3 linked regions of the Neurospora crassa OR74A genome follow. The protein of the gene in region 2 purifies or fractionates together with the protein of the main gene of each other region. This does not show direct contact. Links are inferred from orthologs where the notes say so. Each region holds a gene or a part of one and is shown on either strand. Other genes may lie near its edges.

Region 1 (3,819 bases), on a different chromosome or scaffold from region 2:
CCATGCGCGCGGCGAGCCTTGCGTGGCGTGCGCGGCTGCTCACCCTTCTCTGGCAGGCGGTTGGCGCTCTGGCCAACATACTGAATGCGATGGGCGAGTTCACTGCCGCTGTGCAGCTAGTAGAAGCAGTGCTGCCGCGCTCGATGGAGTCGGAGAATGCTTTCAACACAGGCATACTGTATAGTATCCTGGCGGATGCCAGGATGGGACAGGCTGGAAAAGCTGCAAAGGCCAGGCAGGCGATGACGACGACGGGAGAAACAACAGGAGCGGCGGCGAGCTTGATGAGCAACAAAAAAATCGACCTCTTTACGAAGGCACACGAGGCGCTGGAGTGTGCGTTCAACCACTTCTCTGCGGCGGAAGATCTGGAGAAGCAGTGCGAGACGTTGGCGAAGAGGGCGACGCTAATGAAAGTGCTGGGGGATCATGCTCGAGCGGAGGAGTATGCGGCGCGGTATATGGCATTGAAGAGGCAGAGCTCGTCGGGCGAGCATTCTAGTGTATGGTCGACAGATACAGGTACGCCATAATATGGTTTGGGTGGGGCTCAGTAAAGCTCCGGTCGGACGTTTTTATGGAGCAGTTCGGTTGTAATGACTTGATGAGGAATGGAGAATATTGTCGCTGGCCATAGAGGTTGATGTTTGATTTCATCGAACATGGCGCGGATGTGTGCCCCTTGTTTTGTGTCTTTATACCCCTGGTAGAAATGGAAGGAAGCTATGAAGGCTCACTGCACTTTGTCTCATGGAGATCCCCAGCAATAGCAGTAGAACACTGTTTTCGTCCTGCACATGGGCTTCCATCAAGAATAAGATCATATGGATGTCAATGCGAGCCTTTACAAAGGCTGATATCAGAATACAAATAAATTGATATGATGATTGCGGATCAGTAGACGTGGTGGTGCCTCTAGCACTCGTCCTGTTCTTTCTTTTCCACACTTCATTCACAGTCCCATGCCACCTGCTCTCACTACACGCTAGCTGTCCCAATTCTCTTTGCTTTCCAATGATCCAGGGATGATGCCAGTCTAGCAAGCAAGAGCACAGATGGTGCTTGTGAAGCTCGCATCAACAAGCCACTTACGTGACCTTGTCGCGGTTGTGGTAGTTGACAGACTCGTTCCAGCTAAACAGAGTTGGTATCGGTCAGTAGTTGTTGCCATAGAATGAGGCTCCTTCGATGGGGCGGGCTCGACACGCTCAAAGCTCCTTCGTTCAGAAAGGCCATGCAGAGATGCCCGCCGGTTGTGCGAGCTTCGGATGGGTTAAACGTACAAGAGAGTCTTGTCACCATCGCCCCAGGGGTAGTTGCGGGTGCGGATGTTCTGGTAGGGGTACTCGGTGCGCTCCTCAAGGGGAGGGAGGTGGGACCAGTGCTCCCAGTGCTCGTTGTAGAGGGTGTAGGCGTTGTATCCGGCGAGGGCGAGGGCAGGGGGAATGCCGCTGGGAGAAAGGGTGAGTTTCGTTAGCTTATTGTGTTCCATTCCCCTTTTCTGTCCCCCACTCAATCAAGCATTCCGTAGATGTTGACTGTTGATCCCCTTCGTCTTCTCGGCGGTGCACGTCGGCTATGACGTTGGTGTCATGCGCTCGTCGTTGAAGGCGGGCTCCGATCGGAGCTCGATGGAGCTTCATTTGAGCTAGCTGAAGTTCCAATTCCTTCAGAGTCCGAGGGGTCCATCCGGGAAAAACCACGCAGCGGGGATTTGGGGGGTGGGAGGAAATGCGCATACTAGAGAGAGATCTTGCGCCAGAGCTCTATATGGCGACTCCCGGTTAGCATTTCCCGTCCATCGATAATCGGGGTCGGCAATTGACAAGGGCGGGTGGTGGATTAGTGCGCACCGGTGGTCTCAGCGGCGTGCTGCTTGACGGCCTCACGCTCGCGGACGAAGGCGTTCTTGCCGGACTCGTTGGCAGGGGTGCTGGCGAAGCGGCGCTGGACGGTCTGGCGGACCGCGGGGGCGCGAAGGTTGGCGGCGAGGCGCGCGAAGAACATCTGGCGTTGGGCGAACATGGTTTCCGTATTCGTTGTGGTCGACTACAGGTGGTTCGGAGGAGGACTGGTAACGAGGTGGATGCGGAATCAGCAGCAAAGGTTGTAGCAAGCTGGCCCCACTCTTTTCCTCCTGCGCTTGGCGGCTTCTCGTGACTCCGGGTGCGAACTGAGTGAGGTCAGAGACCGATCAGCTCATTGCTCAGTTCGACCTCGGGTGCGTGCGTGGGTTGCGGCTGCTCATGGGGTGTGGCTGGAGTGCACAGACAGTCGAAATCAAGCCACAGTGCCAAGTGCACGTTCCCGTTGAAAGCTTGAGTTGCGCGAGCAGTCGGAATGACGAAAGCAGCTGCCTGTCAGGTGACTTCGTGTGTGGACCGCCCAATTCACCTGCGTAATTCAACCGCACGAGCCAATCGTTCGTTTGTGGACGCCGCGAACTACTTGGCGATGGCTTGGCAGCTAGTGACATCGTTGGTCGTTTGCCGCAAGGTGTGGCAAACTCCAAGAGACTGGGAATATCGATCGATGTAGCGACGTGAGGGAAAGATCAATTGTTCCCGAGACCTGAAGCTCTTGCTCATGCGAAGCCGAACATCGAAGACGTCAGCCCATGTCCCTCTGCTTCTCGTGTGGCCATTGCAATTACAAGCGCCGCATCCGGCGACCGAAGTGACTTTGTTGTGCTATAAACCTGGTAGATCTAGAGAGCTACCTTAGCATCAGTAAAGGAATATCTGAAAATGGGGTTACGGATCACGACGTGGAATGGTGAGATCCTCTTGCGCGTTTTTGCTGCGTTTTGCCTGGTCTAACTCAAACCAATGTGTAGTCAATGGTATCAGGTCGGTCCTAACACGACAAGCCGTCCCTATGAACCAGCTCTGACCCTGCTTCAAGAAACCCATTCAGTTACCAGCCATGGCGGGAGAACCGCACGTTTCAGGTGGGATCAAGTTCCCTATTCAAAAGCCCTATCTGGCCGGATGCTCTAACACAGTGAAGGCCATGTTCGACACCTTGGACGCCGACATTGTGGTCATACAGGAAACCAAGATTCAGCGGAAGGATTTGAGAGACGACATGGTCCTCGTCCCTGGCTGGGATGTGTACTTCAACTTACCCACGTACAAGAAGGGCTACTCGGGAGTTGCAATCTACACTCGTTCCTCGAAATGTTGCCCGATACGCGCCGAAGAAGGCATTACTGGCGTTCTGTGTCCGCCGAACTCGTCCACAAAGTTTCGCGACTTGCCTGCTGATCAGCAGATTGGTGGCTATCCCACTCCCGGCCAACTCTCCAGCGACATAGACGAAGCTCAACTTGACTCCGAAGGAAGGTGTGTCATCTTGGAGTTCCCTGCCTTTGTTCTTATCGGTGTATACAGCCCGGCCACGCGAGACGAGACCAGGATCGAGTTCCGTCAGGCCTTCATCGACGCCATGGATGCCAGAGTTCGTAACCTTGTCTCCTTGGGGAAAGAGGTGTTTCTCTGCGGCGACCTCAACATCATCCGAAACGAGATGGATACCGCTGGTCTACCAGAACAATTGAAAAAGGAGGCCATGACACTCGACCAGTTCATCTCGACCCCTTCGCGCCGGTTCTTGAACCAAATTGTTTTCGGTGGCCGAGTGATTGGTGAGCCAGACGAAGGGCGAGAGAAGCCTGTGCTGTGGGATCTCTGCAGAGAGTTCCATCCAAAGCGTCCAGGCATGTACACGTGCTGGGAAACAAGGAAGAACGCGAGGCCTGGAAATTTTGGTAGTCGGATTGATTATGTTCTGTGTAGCTCTGGAATCAAGGACTGGTTT
Region 2 (3,803 bases):
TCCTGATGCACCTGAGTCTGAACCTTTTTTATATAAAGTTAAAGGTCCACGTGGAGATGGTGTTTTTTTTTCACAAGACTCACCACCTACACCCGCAGGTAATTCAAAATCACTATAATATAGTTCTCCAAAAATTCTAGCTAAACTACCAAATAGGTACATCAAGGTTCAAAGATGAAGATCTAAAAATATTGAAGAAGCTTTAGGAGCTTCTACTCCTAAATTGGACGCTTCTACTCCTAAATTGGACTCTACTCAAATCATATTAAATAATCTTAAGCCAAAAAAAGGGAAATTTTTTACCAAATTTTGAGTAAAAAATACCAGAGTTCATATCTCCTGATCATAACAAATATATATACCTTTAACTATTAACATAGTAGGTAGAGCAAAAAAAATAAATATTTTAAACTTCTTAATCATATTCATTCAGATGGCTTTAGATATTTCAGTAATACGAGATTTAGAAGGTCAGTTCCAAATAGATGCTTGTAAATTTGAGGTCACAAAAAGGTGAGGTTTTGGTGGTGTTAAAGTTAGTTTATGAGTTAAAAATTGGATGAAAGTTAAAAGTTCAAGAAAATTAATTTTGCCTCCCACTGATTTCTTTTTGTTCCCCATATGATGATAATCTAAAAAATGATAAAAAAAATGATGAAGATTGTAATGGAAGACTCACGAATGAATGAGGTTTAGGTGGGCTACTTATAGATCATTCTAAACTAGGATAACTTCTATTTAAAAGAGCACGTAAACTATCAGTATAGAATTGTGGGATTGATCATGGATATCTACCTGCGTATTCTCCTTGAACTAGTTGTATATACACAATATATAAGAATAATCAAGAAGCTACTACACTTACGATTGACCCAAAACTACTTATTAAATTTCAACCTGAAAATGCGTCAGGGTAATCACTTATTCTTCTTGGCATACCTTGTAAACCTAAGAAATGTTGAGGGAAGAATGTTAAATTAACCCCTATGAATAAAAGTCAGAATTGAGCTTTAGATAACACCATATTATAATTTAAACCTAATATTTTAGGTACTCAGTGATATCATCCGCTAAACATTGCAAATACAGCACCCATACTTAATACATAGTGAAAATGAGCAACTACGTAATAAGTATCGTGGAATGCTATATCTAAAGATGCATTCGCTAAAACAACTCCACTTAATCCCCCAATTGTGAACATAAATACAAAACCTAAAGCAAATAACATAGAAGGAGTTAATCTAATAGAACCTCCATAACATGTAGCTAATCATGAGAATATTTTAATTCCTGTAGGAACTGCAATAATTAATGTAGCTGCTGTGAAATACGCTCTTGTATCCACGTCTAAACCAACTGTATACATATGATGACTTCAAACAATAAATCCTAATATTCCAATAGACATCATGGCGTAGACCATACCAATATAACCGAATACTGATTTATTAGAATAAGCTGATATTGTTGTACTTATTATACCAAAACCAGGTATAATTAAAATGTAAACCTCAGGATGCCCGAAGAATCAGAAAAGATGTTGGAATAAAATAGGATCACCACCACCAGCTGTTTCAAAGAATGATGTATTAAAATTTCTATCTGTTAATAGCATAGTAATTGCACCGGCCAACACGGGGAGAGATAGTAATAATAATACAGCTGTAATAACTACAGCTCATCCAAATAAAGCTAATTTGTGCAATCTAATTCCTGGTGTTCTCATATTTACTATTGTAGTTATGAAATTAATAGACCCTAATAAGGAACTAACTCCTGATAAATGTAGGGCAAAGATAGCCAAATCTACACTAGGTCCACTATGACTTTGTACACCTGATAAAGGAGGATAAATTGTTCATCCTGTACCTGCTCCACCTTCTATACATGCAGAGAATACTAATAATAGTAAACTTGGTGGTAACAGTCAGAAACTAATATTATTAAGTCTTGGGAATGCCATGTCAGGACCCCCTACTAATAATGGTAACAAGAAATTACCAAATCCACCTATTAATGCTGGCATAACCATAAAGAAAATCATTAAGATCGCATGTGCAGTTATTATAGCATTGTATAATTGATTATCTGCAATGTACTGCACCCCAGGTCCGCTTAACTCCATTCTTATTAAAACAGAAAATGCTGTTCCAAGTAACCCAGAAAATAGCGCAAAGATTAGATAAAGAACTCCTATATCTTTAGCATTCGTTGATAAAAATCATCTTTCAGTTCAAATCGAAATTGACGACATTAACCCGACACTTCTTTTACTTGAATTTAAAGAGAGCCCAAACTCCTCACTATTTAATTGATTAAATAATATAATGGTTTTTATTATAATGGTTACGTATCTTATAAATAAAAATAAAATAAGATTACAACATCTTATTGATTATACAATCAATGCTAACCAGGATATTCTGTAAACCGACCAACAGAATATCCCCGGTAACGTAATTCTGGATCACCTACGTAGGTGATTGACTGACTTACTAAAAAACACACTAGCCTTTCAATGTTTTGTGGACTTTCTTTTTTTTTTTTTTTTTAAAAAAAAAAAAAAAAAAAAAAAAGGCGGAATCACGGCTAAATCAGTATTAGAACCAACGAAGTGCCTTGCTATATTAAGTCAGCTATCCAATATTCCATTAGCCTCATGTAGTAAATTAACTTTTCTCGCTACCCTTATCCACATATCCCCCCGTCCCCCCGCCCTGCAGTACTGCAGGGGGGGGAAGGGGGATTGTGAAGAGTGGATGAGCGCCTTTGGAGGAGCGCACAAGTTATTATTATAATTCATTTTGCTCCCACTTCTAAACCCCCGCAAGCTTGCGGGGGGTTTGTTAGGAGAGCCTCCGCTACGCGAGAAAATGAAGACTTATCTTATTATTTAACCAAAATATTAAAAATATTTTGGGAGGCAATTATTTTTTAGCTTCCCCCCCTGCAGTACTGCAGGGCGGGGGGACGGCTAAAAAAATTAAGCGAAGCTCGCCTCCAAAATATGTAGGTAGTGTATATAAAAAAAAAAAGAAATATTTCTTTACCGGTTTATTTCTTCATAATACATATTTTGTTAAGGCGGGCGAAGCTTGCCTCAGAATCACTCCGCCTTTTCTACAACATCAGTTAAGATACTACTTAGTATCTTATATTCCTTTGTAGCCTACAAGAGAAGATTTAGTTTGTATATTTTAGGGGCTAGCGAAGCTCGCCTCCAAACTAAACTAAACCTAAATTTATTTTACATACAAATAATAAATCGAGCCGCGAGGCGTCTTTTTATCATATATTTTTAAAAACAAAAACAAATATATGTTTTAGTGCTTAAATATTATTATTATGTACTACCCCCATATTATTTAAGCCCTAAATACAGATAATTACTCCCCTTATAGAATTATTTTTTTTTTTTCATTAAGATAGTTAGTAAATTTATTAAATTTGCGGGCAGCTTGCTTCATTTTTTTTTGGGCTGGCGCTTATTTTTTTTAGCTTCCCCCCCCTGCAGTACTGCAGGGCGGGGGGACGGCTAAAAAAAATTAAGCTAGCCTCAAAAAAATTGGCTATAGGCTAACCCTAAAGGATTACGTAGGAATCGAACCTAATCCTTAAGATTTGCAGTCAAAGGGTAAACCATTTACATCGTAATCCTGATCCCTTGCTAAGATCAAATAATTATTTACGGCCTCCTCCGTTTCCCTCCACCCCCCCCCTGCAGTACTGCAGGGCGGGGGGACGGCTAAAAAAAAAATTAAGCGAAGCTCGCCTCGAGAAGTGGAAGGGAGGAAGGTAGG
Region 3 (4,082 bases), on a different chromosome or scaffold from region 2:
GATAAGGAAGCACCCTGCCGCTTATCAGCCAATACCTGTCCGAAACGGGTAGGCGGTGAGGTTAGCCAAGACCAAGCATGGTCGTTGCCCGTAGCATGGAACCGATCACCCCTTGAAGTCGTCGAGCTTCCCCTGAATGAATGTCAACAAAGCACACACCTTTGACTTACGCAGCTAAGGCGGCACCGCATCCTCGACCGCTTTTAAATTCCTTTAACTCTAGTCAAGTCGGTGCGAGTCATCTTCCAGCATGTGGGTAGTTTTCGTTTCTTACCAAGGATACACACTGCTGCTGGCAGGTTAGGAATCTCCACGCCTGAAGTTTGTTATCGTTGCACTTCGCTTGACAAACGTTGACCGAAATTTACTGCGCGGTGCAAGGTGTTGCGTGAGACGGACAAAAAGTGCTTGAAAAAAAAAAACCGTCTGTCGTCGATGAGGCTCAAGCTGTCATCACCCTTGCCACAGCAGACTGCCGTGACACAAGGCACTTGCTGCATGCGGCCCGAGCCTGACCGTTGCAGATCAGTGCCTCCCTAGGCCCACAACTACGAGATTATCAGACTGTGCAGTCCAAAAGATTTTGAACACACACCTTGGATCCGACATCCGTAACATCCAGCCCGTACCGTTAGAAACGGAAAAGATACCACAAAGTCTTGAAGTGTAAAAAGCCGATATGGTCGTGACAATGCGTTTGTTCGATATTCCTATTATACAGTCTGGGCTCCTAACAGCCCGGTTGCCAACACCTACTACATCTTACAGGATGCAACGACCAGCATACGCATGGCTCATCTATACAGCAATGACGTTGTCTTTGACGGTAGCCTCGTACCTAAAACAAACTCTGTTAGCTCTCGAACCGTATCTAGTTGTGCGGGGGAAAAAAATCAAGAGAGCACCAACCTCTTTCCGCGGAAGGCCCACACACCCCAGTTACCGGCACTGACGTCCTGAGGGTCAAGATCATTCAGATCCCACCGGAGACTGCGGAAGATGTTCTCGCCAGGCTCCATGAGAATGTCGAATTCACCCTTGGCCTTCTTGTTGACCCACTCGACATCACGCTCCATGTCAGCCTGCGTGTAGCCCGTAGCAATGATAGGAGCTTTGGTCTCGAGAAGCATAGGCAGCGTTTCCTCCCATTCGTGGGAGCTTGCCGGGTGGCCCAAACCAGGGTGGAAGAGGACGAAGCAGTCGAAGTAAGGATCGTGAGGAGCGAAATAACCCGTCTTGTGGATAGTATGGTAATAATCCACAATGGTGCTGATCTTCATGGTAGGCCATACGCGATCCTCCACAACCGCACCGTAAGGATTCTCGGGAGTACGAGGCGGGAGGGGAAATTCGTCATCGCGGTTCATCATGCTCTCGGGTCCGATGAAAATCAGATGGAGTCTCGACAGGGGGAAGAGATGGGCCAACTGCACCCAAGCATCTCTAGGCAGCGACGACTCAGCGCGAGCACCGAGAATAAAGACACGCACGGGGGGCGCCTCAGGCCGAAGACCCTTGATAGACTCGTTGCCTCCAGTTTTGGGAGGATGCAGGGTATAGCGAAGTGCCGTCAAACTCTTTAAGCCCTCGACCGTGAGGCGATTCCGGATGTGGTACGGGCTCAACTCGTGAAGAACGCTGCCGATCGTGAGAGGATAGGTCAACAACCTAGTCGCCTGTCTCATGCACCGGTCATCGTTGACAGCTTCGAACTGACGGGTATACATGAACGTGTCCCAGTTGGTCATGTTGACCATGGCATCATCCATTTGCGGACCGGCGTAGTTGAACTCGTAGAAGTGGCGGCCTGAATGGAGGTCATGGTCATCTTCATTGATCTGCCGCAGAGTGTCGCATATCTCGAGATGTTTCTCATAGTCGTCCATCCAATGCTGCTCGCTGCAATATACCGGGATGCCACAGTCAGGGCACTCGAAATCGACGTGCTTCGGCGGCTGGGAGCCAGACTCGGTATCGACTTGGCGGTTGGTCTCGGAGAACTGCCCTGGGCGGTGGCTATGGTGGGGGCAGCTGGCGTGCTGTCTTATGAAGGCCGCGCGCTGGCGGATCTTGGGGATGGGCGAGTTGGTGAAGGAGTGGAAGAGGTTGTCCTGCTCGAGAATCGGCTTCGAGGGGATACCACTACCGGCCAGATCCTCGTTGGTGGCAAACGATGTCGAGCTGCTGGCCTTGGTTCTGGACTGGGCAGCAACGGAAGGAAGCTTGCTTGTGATCGAAGCCTGGATCGGACGCGAAATGGTTCTGGTGATGCCGCCGACTTGCGTCGAAGACGAGGAAGAGCTCTGTGCCCCTCGGATGGAGCTGACGGAGCGTTGCTGGGCTGACTGCAAAAACGCAGCACTTTGCCTGCTCTGTCTAGCTGTGAAAGTCGAGCATTGCGAGCAAAGCTTGGACAAGGCCGGACGCACGGCGCGGTCTGCTGGGAGGGCCATTGGGAGTTCAAGAGGTCGGATGATGTTCGATCGGGAATCTGGATCGCCGGGACTCGATGCGACTTTCCAATTGACTTTTTGGCAGCAGCTCCCAGCAATCCGGGGTCCTCTCCCACCGACCCGACTCGCTACCTACCTCTACTGTGCCTAAGTGCCTAGGCGGGTCCCGTCCATCGAATGACCCACTTTGTTCTTGCTTCACCAGCCACAATTGTGCCTAGGTAAGCTCCGTCTGACGTTACGTATGCGGGTCAGAGAGCTACGAGCAAGCCACAGTCGCGAGGCGGGAAGATGAGTGGGCGGCGTCTACGACCTACCGTGGACCGAGTCCGACGTACCGCTGCAACCTGAGTGACTGGACTGCACCAATTGGCCAGAAATACCATCGACGGCAACCGACTCCATCTACCTCGCCAGAGTGCCAGAACACTGGACCGTGTTTCATTTTTTTTTGCCGTGTTACAATCATCTACTCGATATTCAACTCTAGATTTTCGACAATCTGGCTGACTTTCGCGCATTGGTCTTCTCAACATAACGACGGCAGCATTGACAGAGCACAACCGAGTCCTACCCACTTGCAAAAACAACCTCGAGAAAGCAGAGCCGCGCCGGCTGTCTGCGCCCAGTTGCAGCCATGGCGACTACGTCGAACATGTTCCTGTATTCCTTGACCATCCAGCCACCCACCGCTGTCACGCAGGCTCTGCTTGGTCAGTTCTCGGGAACCAAGGAACAGCAGATTCTTACGGCGTCTGGATCGCGTCTAACCCTCCTTCAGCCTGATCCCCGTCAGGGCAAGGTCAACACCCTGTTGTCTCATGACATCTTCGGCATCGTACGCGCCATCGCGTCGTTCCGTCTGGCCGGCAGCCACAAGGGTGAGTAACCTCCCCGCCACCTCCTGTGTTGGGCAATATAGTGATTCTGGATCCGTTCCCCAGGTGCTTCTGGGTAGAGGGGCCACACGTATGGTCACGCACCATGCACCCAGGCCTACGAGTCTTCTGGGGACTTGAGAGACTCATTCAAATCGGTAGCGGGATTGTGCTAAAACCCTGTGCCACCCAGACTACATTATCCTCGCCACTGATTCGGGCCGCATTACGATTATCGAGTATCTCCCCAAGACGAACAAGTTTCAGCGCATCCACCTCGAGACTTTCGGCAAATCGGGCGTCCGCCGAGTCATCCCCGGCCAGTACTTAGCCGCAGATCCAAAGGGAAGAGCATGCCTCATTTCGGCACTCGAAAAGAACAAGCTGGTCTATGTTCTCAACCGAAACTCACAGGCCGAGCTTACCATCTCGTCACCACTGGAAGCCCACAAGCCAGGCGTGTTGGTGCTGTCTCTTGTTGCCCTTGACGTTGGTTACGCAAACCCCGTTTTCGCTGCGTTGGAACTGGACTACACGGACGCGGACCAAGATCCTACGGGCCAAGCACGAGAAGAAGTCGAGACACAGCTGGTATATTACGAGCTTGATCTGGGCCTGAACCACGTTGTACGCAAGTGGTCAGATACTGTCGATCGCACTTCTTCACTTCTCTTCCAAGTACCCGGCGGCAATGACGGTCCCAGCGGTGTCTTGGTGTGCGGCGAGGAAAATGTCACCTATCGGCACTCGA

Evidence for each region.
Region 1: the proteins of NCU16016 (region 2) and eat-5 purify together in Saccharomyces cerevisiae (affinity purification with mass spectrometry; 3 studies listed by BioGRID, with this or other methods). This does not show direct contact. The link is inferred for Neurospora crassa OR74A from reciprocal best matches to the Saccharomyces cerevisiae genes COX1 and COX13.
Region 3: the proteins of NCU16016 (region 2) and NCU00395 purify together in Saccharomyces cerevisiae (affinity purification with western blotting; 10 studies listed by BioGRID, with this or other methods). This does not show direct contact. The link is inferred for Neurospora crassa OR74A from reciprocal best matches to the Saccharomyces cerevisiae genes COX1 and MSS51.

The regions. Positions count from the first base shown.
Region 1 is NC_026501.1:1,850,552-1,854,370, forward strand, and holds eat-5 (encodes anonymous transcript-5 protein), read right to left. Parts: upstream 2,222-3,819; 5' UTR 2,026-2,221; coding exon 1,854-2,025; exon of another isoform or gene 1,792-1,853; coding exon of another isoform or gene 1,767-1,791; coding exon 1,742-1,766; intron 1,452-1,741; coding exon 1,284-1,451; intron 1,135-1,283; coding exon 1,089-1,134; 3' UTR 534-1,088; downstream 1-533. Other genes in the region: eat-6 (anaphase-promoting complex subunit Apc5), read left to right, coding at 1-533; NCU01961 (DNA lyase Apn2), read left to right, coding at 2,748-2,775, 2,837-2,849, 2,905-2,950, 3,010-3,819. UniProt on the Saccharomyces cerevisiae protein: Component of the cytochrome c oxidase, the last enzyme in the mitochondrial electron transport chain which drives oxidative phosphorylation.
Region 2 is NC_026614.1:37,722-41,524, reverse strand, and holds NCU16016 (cytochrome c oxidase subunit 1), read right to left. Parts: upstream 2,258-3,803; coding exon 584-2,257; downstream 1-583. Other genes in the region: NCU16017 (hypothetical protein), read right to left, coding at 1-621. UniProt on the Saccharomyces cerevisiae protein: Component of the cytochrome c oxidase, the last enzyme in the mitochondrial electron transport chain which drives oxidative phosphorylation.
Region 3 is NC_026503.1:3,705,690-3,709,771, forward strand, and holds NCU00395 (mRNA processing protein), read right to left. Parts: upstream 2,587-4,082; 5' UTR 2,454-2,586; coding exon 910-2,453; intron 839-909; coding exon 799-838; 3' UTR 599-798; downstream 1-598. Other genes in the region: NCU00396 (pre-mRNA-splicing factor rse-1), read left to right, coding at 3,091-3,334, 3,525-4,082. UniProt on the Saccharomyces cerevisiae protein: Has a dual role in the assembly of cytochrome oxidase subunit 1 (COX1). It has a regulative function on COX1 synthesis, acting as a translational activator specific for the COX1 mRNA, and it also binds to newly synthesized COX1 protein.